Stegostoma tigrinum: one gene and its partners. Each later gene encodes a partner of the first gene's protein in a complex. Links are inferred from orthologs where the notes say so. Each region holds a gene or a part of one and is shown in the gene's direction. Other genes may lie near its edges. The genes, in order: smek1, ppp4r2b and ppp4r4.

Region 1 (6,980 bases):
GTAGTATCCAGGCAGAAAAAATAATAAAGAAGTCTAATGGAATGCTATCAATTATGAGGAATTGAACATAAAAGTAGGGACACTATGCTTCAATTATACAGAGTGTTTGTGATATAACATCTCAGATATAGTGCAGTTTTAGTCTCCTTAGTTCAGAAGGCAAGTAAATATGTTTGATGTGGTTCAGATAAAGTTTACTGGATTGAAGATATCAAAGTGTAGAGCTGGATGAACACAGCAGGCCGAGCTGCTTCAGAGGAGCAGGAAAGCTGATGTTTCGGGCCTAGGCCCTTCTTCAGAATTGAAACTTGCATTGGAATGTGTTTGACAAAACTAGTGTTTTTTTTTGGTACACTATTATAGAATTGATAAGAGAAAATCATTAGAAGTGGCATTCAAAAGGCTTTTGTGAAATTGCAGGAAATTGGTTATTAAGATTAGAGCAAGTAGGAAACAAGATACTAGCATAGATTAAGAAGTAGCTAACAACAGGTAGAAGCAAAGAGTAAGAATGAATGGTCACTTTCACATGGCGAGCTTCAACTAGTGAGGTAATGCAAAGATCAGTACTTGGTCCCTATATTTGCTACATATTAAACCCATATATATAAAATTTGAATATGAGGACTGAATGTGATACTTCTAAGTTTGTAGCTGACTCAAAGCTAGCACAAAGAATGTCTGCAGTGAGGAAGATATAGTGACTTCAATTTGAATTGATATGGCAGATGAAATGTGGAAAATTGTGAGGTTATCCATGTTGATAGGAGAAACAGATATGCACAGTATCAAGTGACACAGATATACCTCTTAAATAGCAAGAGATTTAAAAAGTGTAGATGTAAAAAAGGACAAGGTTCCACATCACTAAATGTCTAAATGCAACAAGCTCCATGAGTGTTTCAAAAAGGGGAGACGACTGAAGTACATGAGATCCTGAATAGACTTGACAAGGGGAATGTGGAAGGATGGTTCCCTCTTCTGTATTAAGTCCAGAACTTGGGGTGCGGGTTGATATTTAAAAATTAGGTGTTATCCTTTAAGGCAGAGAAGAGCACAATATTTTTCTCTGATAAACCTCTGTGACGTTTTAGGTCACTATCTCAGAAGGCAATGGAAGGTTAATCATTGAACATTTTTAAGGCAGTTAAGACCTCAAGACCATGAGATGAAGGAACAGAAGTAGACAATGTGGGATCATGGCTCCACTTTCCTACCTTTTCCTCATAACCCTTAATTCTTTTGCCGATTAAAAGTCAATCTCAGCACTAAACATAGTTAATGACAGAACCTCAAAACCTTTGCAATAAAGAATTGTACAGAATTCACCACATTCTGAGGGGAAAAAAAAATTCCTCATCTCCTACCTTAAATGGGTGACTCCTTACTCTGAAGTTATGTCTTCTGGTCCTAAACCCTCCACAAAGGGAACAGAATTTCTCAACATCTACTGCATCAAGCCTCAGAAAGATCTTATATGTTTCAATACAGTCTCCTTTCGTTCTCCTAAACCCCAACGAATACAAGCCCAACCTACTCATAGGGACATTCCTCCTTACCAAGAATCAACTTAGGAAAATAGGGAGTCCTTAGTGTATACAGATATTCGGATGGAGTGGAGAGATATCTTGATGGTCACTCATTGACCCCACAGTACAGGGATATCCAAATGATCACTTGTTGGCTGATTCCTTCAGTATAGTGACGTCCTGATGGTCACACACTATACGACACCCACAGCATACAGGCATCCTTATGGTCACTCATTCGCTTACTGAACTCTCGCACAGGGCATCCCGATGGTCAAATGTACTGACTGACCCCTCAGTACAGCACACTCCTGGTGGTCACTCTCTGACCTGTCATCACAATACTTCTTTTTTGATGAGAAATAATGGGAACTGCAGATGCTGGAGATTCTGAGATAAAGTGCGGAGCTAGATGAACACAGCAGGCCAAGCAGTCACTGAATGACCAACGGGCACTATCAGTGATCATTCATTTACTGACCACTCAGCACAATGGTCCTCCCAATGATCACTTTAACACAAGGTCCTCTTGACAGTCTCTCACTCATTGGCCTTCCTGCCTCACATTGGGACCCTACTAATGGTCACACTGACATTACACCTCAGTCCAAGGTCTTCTCAGTGGTCGCTCACTGATCCCTCAGCGTTGCTCCCGACGGTCTCTCACTGACTGATCCCTCAACACCAGGTCCTGCTGAAGGTCAGTCACTGGCTGAACCGTCAGCACTGGGCTTTCCCAGTGAACTCTGACTGACTAACCTCTTAGCACTGGGTCCTCCCAATACTTACTCACTTACTGACCCCCTCAGCTCGTGACCCTCTCGATAGTCACTCACTAATTTACCCTTCAGCACTAGGTGCTCACAATACTTACTCACTTACTGACCCCCTCAGCTCGTGACCCTCTCGATAGTCACTCACTAATTTACCCTTCAACACTGGGTGCTCACAATGGTCCCTTATTGATTGAACGCTCAGTGCTGGATCCTCTCGATGGTCACTCACTGATCCCTCAGGACTGTGTCCTTTCAATGGTCACTGACTGACCAGCCCCTCAGCAATAGGGGCCTCTTCATGCTCACACACTGACTCCTCACAGTGGGTCAACCTGGTGATCAAACACTGACTGAACCCTCACACAATGATCACACCCAATGGTCACTCACTGACTGATCCCTGACACAGAAGACCAGCTCAGTGGTCACTTGCTGACACCTCACACAATAATGTCTCCCAATGATCACACACAGTGAGTGTGAACGGTGACCCACTGAACCTACACAGAGTGGGTCAACTCACTGGTCACTCATTGACTGATGGTCACCCTAACTGACCCATCACACAGCAAACCTCCCAATGGTCACTCACTGACTGACCTCTCAGATGGTCATCCTCCTTGTGGTCACTCATTGATTGACTCCTTACATGGTGGTCAGTTACTGAAAGGCCCCACACACTGTGGTCTTCCTGATGGTCACTCACTGGCTGACCCCTCACAGTGGTCCTCTCAACGTTTATTCATTGACTGATTTCTCATAATGGTCCTCCCGCTGGTCACTCACCCCTCATAAAATGGTCCCTCTTAATGGTCACAACTGACTGACCTCTCATATGGTGGTCAATATCTGACTGAACACTCACATGGTGGTCCTCCCAGTGATCTCCACCTAACTGACCCCTCACATGGCGGTCCTCCCAAAGGTCACAACCTGACTGGCCCCTCACACAGTGGTCTTCCTGACGATCACTCACTGAGCCCTGACACGGTGTTTCTCCCAGTGATCACTCACTGAGTGACCCCTTACACAGTGGTACTCCCGGTGGTCACTCACTGGTAGACCCCTCACACAGTGGTCCTCCTGGTGGTCACTCACTGAGCCCTCACACGGTGGTACTCCTGGTGGTCACTCACTGATAGACCACTCACGTGGCGGTCCTCCCAGCGTTCACTCACTGACTGACCGCTCACACATTGGTCCTCCTGGTGGTCACTCACTGAATGACCGCTCACACATTGGTCCTCCCGATGGTCACTCACTGACTAAGGCCTCACACGGTGGTCCTCCTGGTGGTCTCACTGACTGAGCCCTCACACAGTGGTAACAACCTGACTGACCGCTCACACATTGGTCCTCACAGTGGTCACTCACTGCCTGACCCCTCACACAGTGGTCCTCCCGATGGTCACTCACTGACTAAGGCTTCATATCGTAGTCCTCTGGTCACTACCTGACTGACCCCTCATACGGTTGTCCTCCCGGTGGTCAGCCGCCACCGATGGCCGTTCGGCTGGGAGCGCGTGAGCGGGCGGTTTAGGCGGGAAGACGGCCCCTGGCAGGAGACCCCGTGCTGCCTGTCGTGGGGGGGGGGGGAGAGGATGCAACATGGCGGCCGCTGGATGAGGGAGCGGCGGCGGAGTTTCCGAGGGGGGGGGCGGAGGAGTAGAGAGCGGGTGGGCGGCCTCTTACAGGCCGTAGAGTCAGCGAGCGGGGGCAAATAACCTCCTCTTCGAGTTCGGAACAAGAAAGGACACATTCAAAAAAATATATACCGGAATGAGGATTTAAAATCATCCAGAGTTATAGACCTGATTCTGTCATCAACGAGTGGGTGTTGACGCCACGGAGCAGGATAGAATTTGTCGGCTGCGGGAGGGAGAGACTTTTCCCGGCCTCTTATCACCAGAGCCCAAGGCATCGGCCTGGGCCTAGGTCTCGGAAGGATGAGTGCCCTGTGAATTCAGCCCGATTGTCTATTGTTTTTTAAATCTTAGTTTGACTTTTTAAAAGGTATTTATTTTTGTTGTTTCTCAAGCGCGTTTGGAGGAGGGGAGAGTTGAGGTTGGCATCGGTTCCCCTCCACAGCGTCTTCCTACCCCCGGGCTTCCTCCTCCCCTCCCCGAGCCTGAGCCACGGCAATGGCGGACACCCGGAGGCGGGTGAAGGTTTATACACTCAACGAGGACAGGCAGTGGGATGATCGTGGCACCGGACACGTCTCTTCTAGCTATGTGGAGCGCCTGAAGGGAATGTCCCTCCTGGTCAGGGCCGAGTCTGACGGTAAGAGATCCTGGGATAAGATTATGCCCCTTTTCAGAAGGGGTGGGTGGGTGGGACTGGGGGTGGGAGTGTAGCAGCTACCTGACAGCGTGTTCTATCGGTGAGAAATTACAGGCCTCAGCCCTCGATCCATGGTTGTGTTACTCTCTCTTGAACTGTTGTGTTTATATCTGAAGTTGGAGCCTCTCGTTACGAGATCACTGTGGCGTTTTTTGTATGCTTCTATTTTTTTTGTGGCGCTAAAGATCCCTCCTTTGCGCGGCACGACTCGAAAGAAGTTTAGTGTTGTACAAAGAGTTTATACCTATCCCTCATTAATCCTCGAGGGGGTTGTCCACCTGATTTGTATTGGCCAACAGTCTCCTGAAGGCATTCCTTTTTTTTCTCCCAAAGGAGAACATTCTGGCTGTACTTGATTGAATTTTCTATATAAGTCCTGGAGAAACTCAGCAGGTCTGGCAGCATCTGTGGGGAGAATCAAAGTGAACGTTTCGAGAGTGACTCCTTTTCGTAATATCCATTGTGTGATTTTTGATGTGGACTTATATATGGAGTGGCATGAATACTTTCAGAAATAAAGAGAAACATTTAAAATAAACTTGAGAAAAACAAAAAGTTTATGCCTTTTGAGAACCAGCTTTCCCTCGTTCAGCATTGTCAGGGTTATTATTGACTTGTTTAAACACACATTGGAAGTTTTCTTCCAGATGGCATCACTACTTAAGAGAATTGATTACATAGGATAATATTTTCCAACACAATCTTTTTGTCCACTTGTCAGGTGATTTTAAAGAGCTGCAGTTCCACTTCCTGACTGTTTAATACTGTTTCATAAGCAACTTTTGAGGCATATTTTAATCACTACCTCCTCGATTTAACTTTCCTCAGTCTCATTTGTTCTCATTTGTTCCCATTAACCAGTATATTTGGAGATTGGCTGATAACATTCTTCTGTCTTCTACCCACATAGGCACACACTTTGGGTTCTTTCTGGAACATAGTGTATGCTAGGCCAACACCTGTTATCCAGCTCTAATTGGTGTTGCAGTAAGCTGCCACCTTGAAACAGCAGTGTTGCTCAGAAGGAGGTTCCAGGATTTTGATCCAGTGACAGTGAAGGTATAGCAACAGTTAGTGTTGGGACAGTCTATGGTTCAAAGGAATCTGGTCCCGTATATCTACAGTCCTTGTTATTATAGGTGGCAGAGGTTAAGGGTTAGAACATAGAACAGTACGGCACAGTACAGGCCATTAGAGTAGGATAACAGGTTGGCACGACATCATGAACCTAAGATCAAACTACCCTGTATACCCTATAATTTACTGTCATTCATGTGCCTGTCCAAGAGTTGCTTGAATATCCCAAATATATCTGACTCCACTATCACTGCTGGCAGCACGTTTCACACACCTACCACTCTGTGTGAAGAACCTACCTCTGACATCTCCCCTATACCTTCCTCCAATTACCTTAAAATTATGCCCCCTCATAAGTCATTTTTGCCCTGGGAGAGAGGTCCCCAGCTATCCACTATATCTATGACTCATCATCTTGTACACCTCTATCAAGTCACCTCTTATCTTCCTTCACTCTGATGAAAAAAGCCCTAGCTTCCTCAACCTTTCCTCAAGACCTGCCCTCCAGTCCAGGCAGCATCCTGGTAAATCTCCTCTACACCCTCTCTAAAGCTTCCACATCTTTCCTATAACCAGGGTTTTATAGAACTGCAGCATAACCTCATGGCTCTTAAACTCAATTTCCCTGCCAATGGAAGCTAACACACCACATGCCTTCTTAATAACCCTAACAACTTGGGTAGCAACTTTAAGAGTTCTATGGACACGGACCCCAATATCCCTCTGTTCCTCCACACTGCCGAGAATCTTGCCATTAACCCTGTATTCTGCATTCAAATTCAACCTTCCAAAATGAATCACTCCACACTTTTCAGGATTGAATTCCATCTGCCACTTCTTTCCCCAGCTCTGCATCCTGTCAATGTCCAGTTGCAATCTACAAAAGCCCTCCACACGTTCTACAACTTCACTGACCTTCTGAGGAATGGTCACCAGACCTGAAACGTTAACTCTTTTTCCTTCACAGATGCTGCCAGACCTGCTGAGCTTTTCCAGCAATTTTGTTTTTGTTCCACCAACATTCATGTCATCAGCAAACTAACTTACCCACTCTTCCATTTCTTCATCCAAGTCATTTATAAAGATCACAAAGAGCAGGGGACCCGGAACAGAGTAGGTCGGAAAGTGTTTTAAGGGAACCTGGGTAAATTATCATTGATGGGGTAAGTTAATGGCTAAGATGGTGAATGGCATGCCAGCCAGTCAGGGCTCTTTGCACTGAATGGGTTTCTGGAGTTGCCTTCATCTAGACAAC
Region 2 (7,215 bases), on another chromosome or scaffold:
AATTTAGAGTTAAATCCTCAGATTTCTGCACTCATCACACTCTGATCCCTTGGTTTTTATTGCCTCACCAATGGTGGCCATGGTTTCAGCTGGCTCAGCTCCGGAAAACTCTTGAATTTCCTTTCTAAGCCTCTCTGCCTTTCAAAATTTCTTATTTTAAAATATCCTCTAAACGATCACTTTCACAATGATTTTTGGAAACCTGCTTCTTTTTTTAATGCAATATTTTATTTCACAATGTTCCTGTGACGTGTGCTGGGAATTTTTATTTATTATATTACAGGGTCTATACAAATAACTGTTGAAACTGCGCAAATATACATGTTGATTTTTGTAAGGATAATTACAAACATAATTATGTGTATGTATGAGTTTGAAGTGTGCTAAAGCATCAGTATAGTATCCATATTGGTAAAAATTAACATGGCTTTGATGTAAAATTTGATGGAAGAAATGTATATTTGATAGTTTTGCATAAGCCTATTTTTTTCTGGGGTATCATAAACTTAGTACATTCCAAAGTTGCAGTCCAGAGTCATCCCCATATCTGTTCTACATTGGAGAAGTGTAACTGCAAAATCATGGCTGCAGCAGAACCACAAGTATTACGAACACAGATATTGGGGTCTGAGGCAGCTTTTAAAAAGTTTATTCACAGGACATGGACATCATCACTAGCAAGGCCAATATTTATTGCCCATTCTAATTGCCCAGACGGCAGATGAGAGTCAACTACATTCTTGTGGATCTGGCATCACATGTAGGCCAGATTGGATAAGGATGGCAAAATTTCTTCTCTGGAAGACTTTAGTGATTAGATGGATTTTTCCTGACAATCAGCAATAGTTTCACTGTCATCATTAGAATCTTAATCCCAGATTTTTATTGAATTCAAATCCCATCATCTGTCCCCAGAACATAACCTAGATGTCTGGATTAATGTCTCGTGATAATACCATTATGCCACTGCCTTCCCAATTGATCAAGAATTACTTTAAAAATCAAATATTAATAAGAATAGCAACTGCAGAGTTTCAGTCATTGAGTTGGATGTGTGCAACTCTTTCATGTCAAAACCTTGACTGGATCAACCTGTTCTATCCATGAATGAAAGTGTTGGCAAAAGGTTTCGAGAACATACGTACCGCTGTGCCAAAAATTGTGGCTTGGTACAAGCAGCTTCCCAAAGTATTTCAGCCCAGGTTGAAGTATGAAAATATTCCAAAAACATAAAATTGATCCGCATTATCTGCACTGATGCATCTCTGAACAGGTGCATCTGCATAATTCCGACAAAAAAAAACAAAGAACTGCGAATTCGGGAAATCTGAAACAAAAACATACATTGTTGGAGAAACCAAGATAATAAAATGTGAGGCTGGATGAACACAGCAGGCCCAGCAGCATCTCAGGAGCTCAAAAGCTGACATTTCGGGCCTAGACCCTTCATCAGAGAGGGGGATGGGGTGAGGGTTCTGGAGTAAATAGGGCGAGAGGGGCAGGGACCGAAGATGGAGAGAAAAGAAGATAGGTGGAGAGGAGAGTATAGGTGGGGAGGTAGGGAGGGGATAGGTCAGTCCAGGGAAGACGGACAGGTCAAGGAGGTGGGATGAGGTTAGTAGGTAGGAGATGGAGGTGCGGCTTGGGGTGGGAGGAAGGGATGGGTGAGAGGAAGAACAGGTTAGGGAGGCAGAGACAGGTTGGACTGGTTTTGGGATGCAGTGGGTGGAGGGGAAGAGCTGGGCTGGTTGTGTGGTGCAGTGGGGGGAGGGTCGAACTGGGCTGGTTTTGGGATGCGGTGGGCGAAGGGGAGATTTTGAAGCTGGTGAAGTCCACATTGATACCATTGGGCTGCGGGGTTCCCAAACGGAATATGAGTTGCTGTTCCTGCAACCTTGGGGTGGCATCATTGTGGCACTGCAGAAGGCCCATGATGGACGTGTCATCTGAAGAATGGGAGGGGGAGTGGAAATGGTTTGCGACTGGGAGGTGCAGTTGTTTATTGCGAACCGAGTGGAGGTGTTCTGCAAAGCGGTCCCCAAGCCTCCGCTTGGTTTCCCCAATGTAGAGGAAGCCGCACCGGGTACAGTGGATGCAGTATACCACATTGGCAGATGTGCAGGTGAACCTCTGCTTAATATGGAAAGTCATCTTGGGGCCTGGGATAGGGATGAGGGAGGAGGTGTGGGGGCAAGTGTAGCATTTCCTGCTGTTGCAGGGGAAGGTGCCAGGTGTGGTGGGGTTGGAGAGCAATGTGGAGCGAACAAGGGAGTCACGGAGAGAGTGGTCTCTCCGGAAAGCAGACAAGGGTGGGGATGGAAAAATGTCTTGGGTGGTGGGGTCGGATTGTAGATGGCGGAAGTGTCGGAGGATGATGCGTTGTATCCGGAGGTTGGTGGGGTGGTGTGTGAGAACGAGGGGGATCCTCTTTGGGCGGTTGTGGCGGGGTCGGGGTGTGAGGGATGTGTTGTGGGAAATGCGGGAGACGCGGTCAAGGGCATTCTCGACCACTGTGGGGGGAAAGTTGCGGTCTTTGAAGAACTTGGACATCTGGGATGTGCGGAAGTGGAATGCCTCATCGTGGGAGCAGATGCAGCGGAGGCGGAGGAATTGGGAATAGGGGATGGAATTTTTGCAGGAGTATTCTTGGTAGCTGTGGGAGTTGGTGGACTTGAAATGGACATCAGTTACAAGCTGGTTGTCTGAGATGGAGACTGAGGGGTCCAGGAAGGTGAGGGATGTGCTGGAGATGGCCCAGGTGAACTGAAGGTTGGGGTGGAAGGTGTTGGTGAAGTGGATGAACTGTTTGAGCTCCTCTGGGGAGAAAGAGGCGGCGCCGATACAGTCATCAATGTAACGAAGAGGTGAGGTTTGGGGCCTGTGTAGGTGCGGAAAGGGTTCCACGTAACCTGCAAAGAGGCAGGCATAGCTGGGGCCCATGCGGGTGTCCATGGCCAACCCCTTTGTCTGTAGGAAGTGGGAGGAATCGAAAGAGAAGTTGTTGAGGGTGAGGTCGAGTTCGGCTAGATGGATATGGTGTCGGTAGAGGGGGACTGGTCGGGCCTGTGGGACAGGAAGAAGCGGAGGGCCTTGAGGCCATCTGCATGCGGAATACAGGTGTATAGGGACTGGACGTCCATGGTGAAAATGAGGTGTTGGGGGCCAGGGAATTGGAAGTCCTGGAGGAGGTGGAGGGCGTGTGTGGTGTCACTGCCGCAGGTAGGGAGTTCCTGGACCAAAGGGGAGAAAATGGAGTCCAGACAGGTGGAGATGAGTTTGGTGGGGCAGGAACAGGCTGAGACGATGGGTCGACCAGGGCAGGCAGGTTTGTGGATTTTGGGAAGGAGATAGAAACGGGCCGTGCGGGGTTGGGGAACAATGAGGTTGGAGGCTGTGGGTGGGAGGTCCCCTGAGGTGTTGAGGTCATGAATGGTGTTGGAGATGATGGTTTGGTGCTCGGGTGTGGGGTCATGATCGAGGGGGCGGTAGGAGGTGGTGTCGGAGAGTTGACGTCTGGCCTCGGCGATGTAGAGGTCAGTGCGCCATACTACCACTGCGCCACCCTTGTCTGCGGGTTTGATGGTGAGGTTGGGGTTGGAGTGGAGGGCTGCCCGTTCTGCGGGGGAGGTTTCTCCAGATAGGGGAAAGTTTGTTCCTTCAGGTGCCGCCAGACCTAGAGAAACACAGCAGGTTTGCCACAATCTAGAAGACAGAGTTTTAGAAGACAGAGTTTCTCCAACACACTTGTTACACGCAATTTCTACGTCATGTGCAGGAATAAACGCGTAGGAATTTAATGTTCCTCGGACAGCTCCTCCCTCGGCGCACTTTCGTCATAAAAAGGAGCTTAAAGACTGGGGAAGCAATTGAATATCCAGGACGCACAGTGATGATACTCAACGTAGGGGGTGGGGCGAAAGGGACGCACACGTGACAGTCAACCTCGCCTTCGGAGGCCCGCTCATGCGCGCCTGCGCCAGCTGCGATGGCGTCATCACGTCGAGGCGCGTGGATGACGCCACCGCGCCGTGCGATGGGAGTGACGTCTGCGGGCGGCGCCATGTTGTGTGTTTCACCCAGTGCCGGGCCCGCTGTCTACTGAAAGAGGGAACGGGGGGAAACTTTATTCGGTGGTACTCTGGGTCCCGGTTTCTGGCGCGGGGGTGGGGGGGGAAAGGGGGAATCGGTTTTAGTTGCACCTCCAAGATGGAGACGGAGAGCCTCCTGGAAGCTCTGTCAGGTCAGTGGTGGCAGACGAACGAACATTAGTTGGTGGTTTGTGTCTCACCGCGGGACTGGGAATCCCGATCCCCACGGCTTTGAATAACCTGTGCTCTCTGTGTGTGTCTTTCCCACCGGCAGATTTCGAGAAGAAATCCAAGAAGGAAGTGTCGTCGCTGTTGGACCAGTTCCTTTGTCATGTCGCGAAGACGGGAGAAACCCTGTGAGTGAAACCGTGAGAGAGAGAGAGAGAGAGAGAGGGCCCTGAGGCCCGGGAGGGAGCAGGGAACTCAACTCAGTTCTCAGCCGGGGAGAGTTGTGGGTGGTCGGAGGGTTCACAGTGAGGAAGGCTAAACAACCCACCCCCCCCATACACCACCCCCATTCTCCGTTCTCACCACCCCCCCCACACACCACCCCCCCCACACACCACCCCCATTCTCCGTTCTCACCCCCCACACACACCACCCCCATTCTCCGTTCTCACCCCCCACACACACCACCCCCATTCTCCGTTCTCACCCCCCACACACACCACCCCCATTCTCCGTTCTCACCCCCCCACACACCACCCCCATTCTCCGTTCTCACCCCCCCACACACCACCCCCATTCTCCGTTCTCACCCCCCCACACACCACCCCCATTCTCCGTTCTCACCGCCCCACACGCCACCCCCCAGCTCCTTTCTCCCTCGCCCCCCCCACACCACCCCCAGCTCCTTTCTCCCTCGCGCCCCCCGCCACACCACCCCCAGCTCCTTTCTCCCTCGCCCCCCCCCCGACACCACCCCCAGCTCCTTTCTCCCTCGCCCCCCCCCGACACCACCCCCAGCTCCTTTCTCCCTCGCCACCCCCAGCTCCTTTCTCCCTCGCCACCCCCAGCTCCTTTCTCCCTCGCCACCCCCAGCTCCTTTCTCCCTCGCCACCCCCAGCTCCTTTCTCCCTCGCCACCCCCAGCTCCTTTCTCCCTCGCCACCCCCAGCTCCTTTCTCCCTCGCCACCCCCAGCTCCTTTCTCCCTCGCCACCCCCAGCTCCTTTCTCCCTCGCCACCCCCAGCTCCTTTCTCCCTCGCCACCCCCAGCTCCTTTCTCCCTCGCCACCCCCAGCTCCTTTCTCCCTCGCCACCCCCAGCTCCTTTCTCCCTCGCCACCCCCAGCTCCTTTCTCCCTCGCCACCCCCAGCTCCTTTCTCCCTCGCCACCCCCAGCTCCTTTCTCCCTCGCCACCCCCAGCTCCTTTCTCCCTCGCCACCCCCAGCTCCTTTCTCCCTCGCCACCCCCAGCTCCTTTCTCCCTCGCCACCCCCAGCTCCTTTCTCCCTCGCCACCCCCAGCTCCTTTCTCCCTCGCCACCCCCAGCTCCTTTCTCCCTCGCCACCCCCAGCTCCTTTCTCCCTCGCCACCCCCAGCTCCTTTCTCCCTCGCCACCCCCAGCTCCTTTCTCCCTCGCCACCCCCAGCTCCTTTCTCCCTCGCCACCCCCAGCTCCTTTCTCCCTCGCCACCCCCAGCTCCTTTCTCCCTCGCCACCCCCAGCTCCTTTCTCCCTCGCCACCCCCAGCTCCTTTCTCCCTCGCCACCCCCAGCTCCTTTCTCCCTCGCCACCCCCAGCTCCTTTCTCCCTCGCCACCCCCAGCTCCTTTCTCCCTCGCCACCCCCAGCTCCTTTCTCCCTCGCCACCCCCAGCTCCTTTCTCCCTCGCCACCCCCAGCTCCTTTCTCCCTCGCCACCCCCAGCTCCTTTCTCCCTCGCCACCCCCAGCTCCTTTCTCCCTCGCCACCCCCAGCTCCTTTCTCCCTCGCCACCCCCAGCTCCTTTCTCCCTCGCCACCCCCAGCTCCTTTCTCCCTCGCCACCCCCAGCTCCTTTCTCCCTCGCCACCCCCAGCTCCTTTCTCCCTCGCCACCCCCAGCTCCTTTCTCCCTCGCCACCCCCAGCTCCTTTCTCCCTCGCCACCCCCAGCTCCTTTCTCCCTCGCCACCCCCAGCTCCTTTCTCCCTCGCCACCCCCAGCTCCTTTCTCCCTCGCCACCCCCAGCTCCTTTCTCCCTCGCCACCCCCAGCTCCTTTCTCCCTCGCCACCCCCAGCTCCTTTCTCCCTCGCCACCCCCAGCTCCTTTCTCCCTCGCCACCCCCAGCTCCTTTCTCCCTCGCCACCCCCAGCTCCTTTCTCCCTCGCCACCCCCAGCTCCTTTCTCCCTCGCCACCCCCAGCTCCTTTCTCCCTCGCCACCCCCAGCTCCTTTCTCCCTCGCCACCCCCAGCTCCTTTCTCCCTCGCCACCCCCAGCTCCTTTCTCCCTCGCCACCCCCAGCTCCTTTCTCCCTCGCCACCCCCAGCTCCTTTCTCCCTCGCCACCCCCAGCTCCTTTCTCCCTCGCCACCCCCAGCTCCTTTCTCCCTCGCCACCCCCAGCTCCTTTCTCCCTCGCCACCCCCAGCTCCTTTCTCCCTCGCCACCCCCAGCTCCTTTCTCCCTCGCCACCCCCAGCTCCTTTCTCCCTCGCCACCCCCAGCTCCTTTCTCCCTCGCCACCCCCAGCTCCTTTCTCCCTCGCCACCCCCAGCTCCTTTCTCCCTCGCCACCCCCAGCTCCTTTCTCCCTCGCCACCCCCAGCTCCTTTCTCCCTCGCCACCCCCAGCTCCTTTCTCCCTCGCCACCCCCAGCTCCTTTCTCCCTCGCCACCCCCAGCTCCTTTCTCCCTCGCCACCCCCAGCTCCTTTCTCCCTCGCCACCCCCAGCTCCTTTCTCCCTCGCCACCCCCAGCTCCTTTCTCCCTCGCCACCCCCAGCTCCTTTCTCCCTCGCCACCCCCAGCTCCTTTCTCCCTCGCCACCCCCAGCTCCTTTCTCCCTCGCCACCCCCAGCTCCTTTCTCCCTCGCCACCCCCAGCTCCTTTCTCCCTCGCCACCCCCAGCTCCTTTCTCCCTCGCCACCCCCAGCTCCTTTCTCCCTCGCCACCCCCAGCTCCTTTCTCCCTCGCCACCCCCAGCTCCTTTCTCC
Region 3 (7,451 bases), about 19 Mb from region 1:
TCATCAAATGTTTTGCAGTCAGGATGTGGGCATATATCCTTCCAGTATTTTCTTTGAATAACAGATATATCAGCTTACTTGCATTTCAAACAACTATATTACTACATTTAATTTGTTTTACTTGTAGATATTGAAACTTTCACCATGTTTTCTGTTTTCAATAATTCTTTACTTTGTAGTGTGTGATTTATTTTGCTCTAATTTCTTCTCTTTTGTACTTACTTTAAGAGTGGTCTCCATTTTAAACCTTAGCTTTATTCATATATATATATATCAGGCCAAGAGCTTTATGTTGCTACAGTACATTTTGTTAGTGCAAATGATTGTTCTTGTTAACTTTTAAAATGCATTTGATGCTATCCTTGATATCACAGTTTTGCAGTTTAACATGCTGACTGGTTTTGGTCCCATTAACCATTTGGGTTCAAACCAGATAGTCACATTGTTGTGATGTTGAGCTAAATAGGTTTGGAGGATTCCAGGATCTGTTGCTCATTAACATGAAACATTAACTCTGTTTTCCACTCCAAAGGAGTGTAAAGTATTTCAAGAGATTTTTATTATTATTTCATATCTTTAGCAGACATTTAGCTTTTGTTTTTGAGTAGAACAGGAGAGGACAAAAATATGATGAACATTTTTATAATAGATTGTCAACACACCATGTGAAAAGTTCTGAGGAAAGGTCACCAGACCCAAAACGTTAACTCTGTTTTTGTTTTCCCTCACAGATGCTGCCAGACCTGCTGAGCTTTTCCAGCAACTTTGTTTTAGTTCCTGATTTACAGCATCCGCAGTTCTTTTGGTTTTTATTCACCATATGAAAAATCCCAGGTGAAAAATGGAAGATATATGGTGCCTTTCTTGACCTCAAGCTAACCCAAAATACTTTACAGCCAATTAGGTGGAGGCTTTGAAGAGGGACAGAAGAGGTTTACTAGGATGCCGCCTGGATTAGAGGGTATGAGCTATATACGGATGGGCTAGAAAAATTAGGGTTGTTTTGTCTGGAGCAGCTGAGGTTGAGGGAAACTTGACAGTTGTCTGTAAAATTATGATATGCACAGATAAGGTTCATGGTCAGAATCTTTTCCCCTGAGTTGAGATGTCTAATACTAAGGGACATGTGTTTAAAATGAAAGGGGAAAGTTCAAAGGAGATCTGAGGGGTTTTTTACACAGTGAGTGGTAGGAGTCTGAAACTCACTGCCAGGGTTGGTGGTGGAGGCAGATATGGTAGGGGTGTTTAACATACTTATAGATAAGCACATGGGTTTGCAAAGAATGGAGGAATATGAAGAAAGGGCAAGCAGAAGGGTTTGGTTTAATTTGGCATCATGTTCAGCACAACATCATGGGCTAAAGGGTCTGTTCCTGTACTGTACTGTTCTGCGTTCCATGTAAATACTTTTCAAGTGCGGACACCGTTATATGTGGGAGCCATAGACATTAAATTGCACTCAAGGCCCCGTACACGAGACCATGTGACACTGACCACAGGGAACAATGGTTGAGGGATCAGTCAGTACACTAGGCAACACTTCCCAGTTACCCACAAGTGGATAAGATAGTCAAGGAGGCATATAGCATGCTTTATCCTTCAAAACTTGGGGCATTATGTATAAAAATTGACAAGTCATGTTGCAGCTGTACAGAACTTTAGTTAAGTCACATTTGCAATATTGTGTACAGTTCTGGTTGCCACAATACCAGAAGGACGTGGAGGCTTTGGAGAGGGTACAGAACATTTTACCAGGATGTTGCCTGGTTTGGAGGGTATGAGATATGAGGAAAGATTGGACAAACTTAGTCTGTTTTCACTTGAATGAAGGATGAGAGAAACCTGATAGAAGTTTACAAAATTTTGAGAGGCAAGGATAAAATAGATAGTTGGAGTCTTTTTCCCAGTGTAGAATTATACAATTAGAAGTAGGGCCTTGGGTGGTACTTTAGAACAGGGGACTAAGGGGTGCAGGTACATTATTCTTTGAAGTTAGCATCACATATAGACAGGGTAGTTAAAAAGGTATTTGACATGCTTGCTTTCATTGCTCAGTGCTTTGAGTGTAGGAGTTGGGAAGCCATGTTGAAGTTTTCCAGGGTGTTGTTGAGCCCTTTTCTGGAATACTGTGGCCAAATCTGGTCACCCAGTTATAGGAAGGATATTATTAAGCTGGTGAGGGTTCAGAAGAGATTTACTAGGACGTTGCCGAGTATGGAAGGTTTGAGTTATAAAGAAAGGCTGGATAGTCTGGAACTTTTTTCACTGGAGCATAGGAGGTTGAGAGGTGAACTTATTGAAGTTTATAAAATAATAGCGGTATGGATGGAGTTACTGGAAGTTATCTTTTCCCCAGGATGGTGGATTTCCAGACTAGGGAGCACATATTTAAGTTGAGAGGAGAGAGATATAAAAAATGCATGATAGGCAAATGTTTTACACAGAGGGTGGTTTGCATGTGGAATGAAATTTTTGACAAATGTTGGCACAGTGGTTAGCACTGCCAGGGAGAGGGTCTAGGCCTGAAACATCAGCTTTTGTGCTCCTGAGATGCTGCTTGGCCTGCTGTGTTCATCCAGCTCCACACTTTGTTATCTTGGATTCTCCAGCATCTGCAGTTCCCATTATCACTGATACTAGGTAGTGGATTTGGATTTAAGGTAAAAGGGGATAAGTTTAAAAGGTGAGATGTTGGTTTTTTTTATACAGAGGATGGTAATTCCCTGAAATGCATAGCCAGAGGAAATGGTGGAATAGAATGTTTAGGAATCATCTTGGCATACATATGAATAGGCAGGGAAGAGAGGGAAATCAATAGCATAGAGGCAAGAGGTTTTTTTGTTTAGAAAGGCATTATGTGTCAGTGCAATCTTGGGGGCTGAAGTGCCTTTTCCAGGGCTGTACTGTTGTTTGTTATTAGTCATCATGCAACAGTGTAGAGATGATTTAAGCCATAGGGAAATGCTGAATAGGCTCAGGCTATTTTCCCTACAGTGTCAGAGGCTGAGGTGTGACTTTGTAGAGGTTTATAAAATCACAAGAGGCATGGACAGGGTAAATAGCCAGGGTCTTTTCCCTGAGTGGAGGAATACAAAACTAGAGGGCATAGCTTTAAACTGAGAGTGGAAAGATATAAAAGGGACCTAAAGGGTCACATTTTCACACATGTATGGAATGAACTATCAGAGGAAGTGGAGGCTGGTATAATTACAATATTTAAAAGTATGGGTATATGAACAGGAAGGGTTTAGAGGGAGTTGGGCCAAATGGGACTAGAATTACATAGGACAAATCATCAGCATGGACGAGTTGGACCAAAGGGCCTGTTTCCATGCCGCATATCTTGATGATCTTAAGTGCAAGTCAGATTTTTATTCAGTAAGGGAGTCAAGGGTTATAGAGGAAAAGGCAGGAAAGTGGAGTTGATGATTGTCAGAGCAGCTATGATCTCAGTAATTGGCAAGTAGACTTAATAAGCTGAAGGGCCTACTGTTTATGGTTTCTCAGTGGAGGGGTGAGCCTCCCTCTTGTGCTCAAAAATCTTAAACCCACAACCTTGTGATTTGGAAAGTTACCAGTGAGCTGTGGAAACGACACCCATTAAAATGGCTCGTTGGCTAAAGGCCATGAGATGATACTCCAGCAAAAATGAAAAGAGTTCACGAGCTTGGGGAGAGAGGGCAGAATATCTTTACTTTTTCAGAAACGCCAAAAGTACTGAATTCCCACAGAAAACTGAAGCATCTGCCAGCAGCACATGTAACACAAGTGATCCTCCAGCATTAATCATGGTTTACACAATAGGACCCCCACCCACTAGACTTGATGATTCACACTGGGAGAAATCACTGTTTGGAGTCAATCGTCAAAGGTAAACTGCAGCCCCCTATCCGGGCCCACACCAGACGCTGGTGGCATTGGCCCTGACTCTGTACTAGGAGGGGTACTACGTCCCACCTGCTCCAGAGGTGTACGGGTTGGTGAGGCGAAAATTTAAACACTCCAGATCCACTCTTCCCTCCAACCCCAGACCCACAACCTCGTTGTCCTTTGCGTTCTCCGCGATTTGAGTGCGTCAGGGACGGGATTAAAGGAAAACTAAACTCCAAGTGATGATTGATAAGGGAGGGTGAGGGACGTCAAGACGGTCCCCGAGGCAGGTGCGAACTGACGAGCGAACGCCTTCCGTCCCGACGTGCGTGGGAGATCGGGACGCTCGACGCTCGCCGTAGCGACTCGTTGCCCTGGCGACGGCGGCTGCCCAGGGAGACGGAGAGGTCCATCCCCGCCCCCGCGCGCCTTTCCCTCCCCCCACCCCCTCACCGCCTCCCCCCACCCCCACCCCAACCCAGTCCCGGTCACACTGCTCCCTCCCTCCCACTCACCTGCCCGTCGAGGTTTCCCGTCTCCGGCTCCGCTCTGGGGAGAAGGAAAACGATCGCCGCTTCGCTCTTTTCGGACAATCCCCCCCCCCCCCCCCCGGATTCGGGGATAACCACGAAGACCCTCTCTGTGACCTACAGAGATACCACACAGAGCGTTTGTGTGTTGGGGGGGCGGGGCGGTAACGCAGCTCCTGCGCCTGGTGGATTGACGGCAGGTGAAAAGGAAAGGGATAGTCTGCCGCTGAGATCCGAAAGAGGCCGAAGACCCCCGGTAACCTAAGCCTCCACCGCCTGGTGTGGGGGCGGGGGGAGGGCAGAGAGCGAGGTTTGGGAGAGGTGGCGCCTCATCTTCCAACTGCCGGTCGGACGGCTCGGATACCGGGATATATGGTGCTAGGATCGTCGGAGAGTCGCTGACCACCTTCCCCTTCTCTGATCCCTCTCTCCACCCGCAACCCTCCCTCCCTTCACCTTACGCACCCTCTCGCCCTGTCCGGTCCTCACCCTCTTCCCCCCCACCTCCGATCGTCACCCTCTCCGCCACCGATCCTCACCTTCTTCCCCCTCCGATCGTCACCCTCTCCGCCTCCGATCCTCACCCTCTTCCCCCTCCTCCGATCGTCACCCTCTCCGCCTCCGATCCTCACCCTCTTCCCCCTCCTCCGATCGTCACCCTCTCCGCCTCCGATCCTCACCCTCTCCCCCCAATCCTCACCCTCTTCTCCCTATCGATCATCACCCCCTTCTCTCCCCCGATCCTCACCCTCTCCCCCCAATCCTCACCCTCTTCTCCCCATACTCTCCTCCCCGACCCCCATCGTCTCCCCCCGCCAATCTTCACCCTCTTTCCTCCCCATACTCTTTCCCCCGCTCTAATCCTCTGTTCTTCCCCCTATCATCGTCACCTTCTCTTCCCACCAGTACACTCATTCTCTATTCCCTCTCGCCATCCCCACCTTCACCTCCACCCCACCCCAGTTTCACCCCACCACTCTGCACACTCTTCCCCCAGCCTCCTCTCCCCACCCCCGGATCCCGGCTCAAACCCGCACCCACACACAAACGCACACAGGTCTTCATCCTCCCCGAACTCTCTGCTGCTTTATTCTCATCTCTTCGAATCCTTATTTTGTTTTTAAAAAATGATGGATTTCAACCAGGAGAATTTATTCGGGCAAATAGAAGATTTGCAGGAACTTAGCTTCATCGAAAGACCAGTGCGTCGATACCTGAAGGTGTGTATGTGAGAAAGGGGAGTGTGGTTGTTGGATGATGGTGATGGTGGAAAATATATATATTATGTATATATATGTATGTGCATATTATGTATGTATGAGGTACACTATCCGTGTATGTAAGTAGAGCTATCAAGGTTACACTGGGCTGCGCTTGCAGCGCAATGAAGGCAGAGCCTGCGTTACCCCTGAATCACTGTGCTGGAAATGTATTTAAAGCGAAAATTGACTGCCTGTCTCGGGCACAGAGACAAAATCAGATTTGTTACACAGTTCCACTAGTTATTACCGATTACAGCCGTAGGGTAGAGAAGCTATATCATGTAAGTTATCAGCAACTGAGACATCAAATCTGCCGTACGCACTGAAATTGTTAGCACATTATGACTCATTTTAACGAGAACATTTACCAGTTCATTATTAACATTTTAAGTGTCGCTGCCATTTATATCGAGCATATTTATTAAGATTTCAATCCATAACTTAATTTTAGATTTATTTAATCGATATATGAAAAAATTGGGACAAATATAAATCAAGATTGAATAGGTCAGATTATATTTCTGAACAAATATTAACATGGACCTTGTTACAATGTGAAATCTATTTGCTATCTCATGTACTAATTTAATGGAGACATTTCTGATATGATACAAACTAGATTTTTGTTAAAAGTACTATGTACAACAGAACAGATGAATCTGAATTTTAAATCAATGCTAAATCAAAATGCAGATGCTGGATATGTGAATTAAAAGAAAATCACGGCTGGAAATGCTCAGCAGGGCAGCAGAGGAGGAGGAGAGAGAGTGAAATAGTAACTGCTCTCCACAGAAACTGTCTGACCCATCCAGTTTCTCCACTGTTTTCCGTATTTCGCTGTATCTGTATGTTGTTAATCTGCATGGATTGATAACCTTAAAACTCTTCTTTTAAAAAATGGTTTCTGCCAAAAAGAGCACTTTGGCTGATGAGGCGGCTTTAGCAAACTCTTGTCAGTTTGAGCAATTTACGCTGTATGGTTTGTCAAATGCATATATAAACCTTTCATCACTATCCATTATAAGATGCTTTTAGTAGAAAGAAGAGAAAGGAAGATTTACATTCATATACCACATTACAGTGTAATAATGAAGAAAGTGAAGTAGTCAATTTATGCAAACAGTCTTCCACAAACAGCGGTGATAATGACAAGCTAATGTGTTTTTTGTGATGTTGATTGAGGTATATAAATCATGTCTGTGGGCTCTTTTACACTGATTCAAACAGGCAGATGTGCCCTTGTTGCAACATTGTTGTAAATAGCGAGTTTTGAGAAGATTTGTAGCTCAGGTTGAGGTTCTGGATGTGAGTTTGCTCGCTGAGCTGGAAGGTTAGTTTTCAGATGTTTCGTCACCATTCTAGGTAACATCATCAGTGAGCCTCCGATGAAGCGCTGGTGTTATGTCCCGCTTTCTATTTATCTGGTTAGGTTTCCTTGGGTTGGTGATGTCATTTCCTAAATAGAAAGCGGGACATAACACCAGCGCTTCGTCGGAGGCTCACTGATGATGTTACCTAGAATGGTGACGAAACGTCTGAAAACTAACCTTCCAGCTCAGCGAGCAAACTCACATCCAGAACCTCAACCTGAGCTACAAATCTTCTCAAACAGAAAATGACATCACCAACTCTAGGAAACCTAACCAGATAAATAGAAAGCGGGACATAACACCAGCGCTTCGTGGGAGGCTCACTGATGATGTTACCTAGAATGGTGATGAAACGTCTGAAAACTAACCTTCCAGCTCAGCGAGCAAACTCACATCCAGAATTGTTGTAAATGACACCT

Evidence for each region.
Region 2: smek1 (region 1) and ppp4r2b share a complex: the UniProt entries of both Homo sapiens proteins name them as parts of the PP4 complex. The link is inferred for Stegostoma tigrinum from reciprocal best matches to the Homo sapiens genes PPP4R3A and PPP4R2.
Region 3: smek1 (region 1) and ppp4r4 share a complex: the UniProt entries of both Homo sapiens proteins name them as parts of the PP4 complex. The link is inferred for Stegostoma tigrinum from reciprocal best matches to the Homo sapiens genes PPP4R3A and PPP4R4.

The regions. Positions count from the first base shown.
Region 1 is NC_081363.1:7,135,922-7,142,901, forward strand, and holds the start of smek1 (serine/threonine-protein phosphatase 4 regulatory subunit 3), read left to right. Parts: upstream 1-3,916; 5' UTR 3,917-4,446; coding exon 4,447-4,588; intron 4,589-6,980. UniProt on the Homo sapiens protein: Regulatory subunit of serine/threonine-protein phosphatase 4. May regulate the activity of PPP4C at centrosomal microtubule organizing centers.
Region 2 is NC_081364.1:39,750,751-39,757,965, reverse strand, and holds the start of ppp4r2b (serine/threonine-protein phosphatase 4 regulatory subunit 2-B), read left to right. Parts: upstream 1-4,150; 5' UTR 4,151-4,206; coding exon 4,207-4,240; intron 4,241-4,362; coding exon 4,363-4,444; intron 4,445-7,215. UniProt on the Homo sapiens protein: Regulatory subunit of serine/threonine-protein phosphatase 4 (PP4). May regulate the activity of PPP4C at centrosomal microtubule organizing centers.
Region 3 is NC_081363.1:25,918,251-25,925,701, reverse strand, and holds the start of ppp4r4 (serine/threonine-protein phosphatase 4 regulatory subunit 4), read left to right. Parts: upstream 1-4,378; 5' UTR 4,379-5,527; coding exon 5,528-5,620; intron 5,621-7,451. UniProt on the Homo sapiens protein: Putative regulatory subunit of serine/threonine-protein phosphatase 4.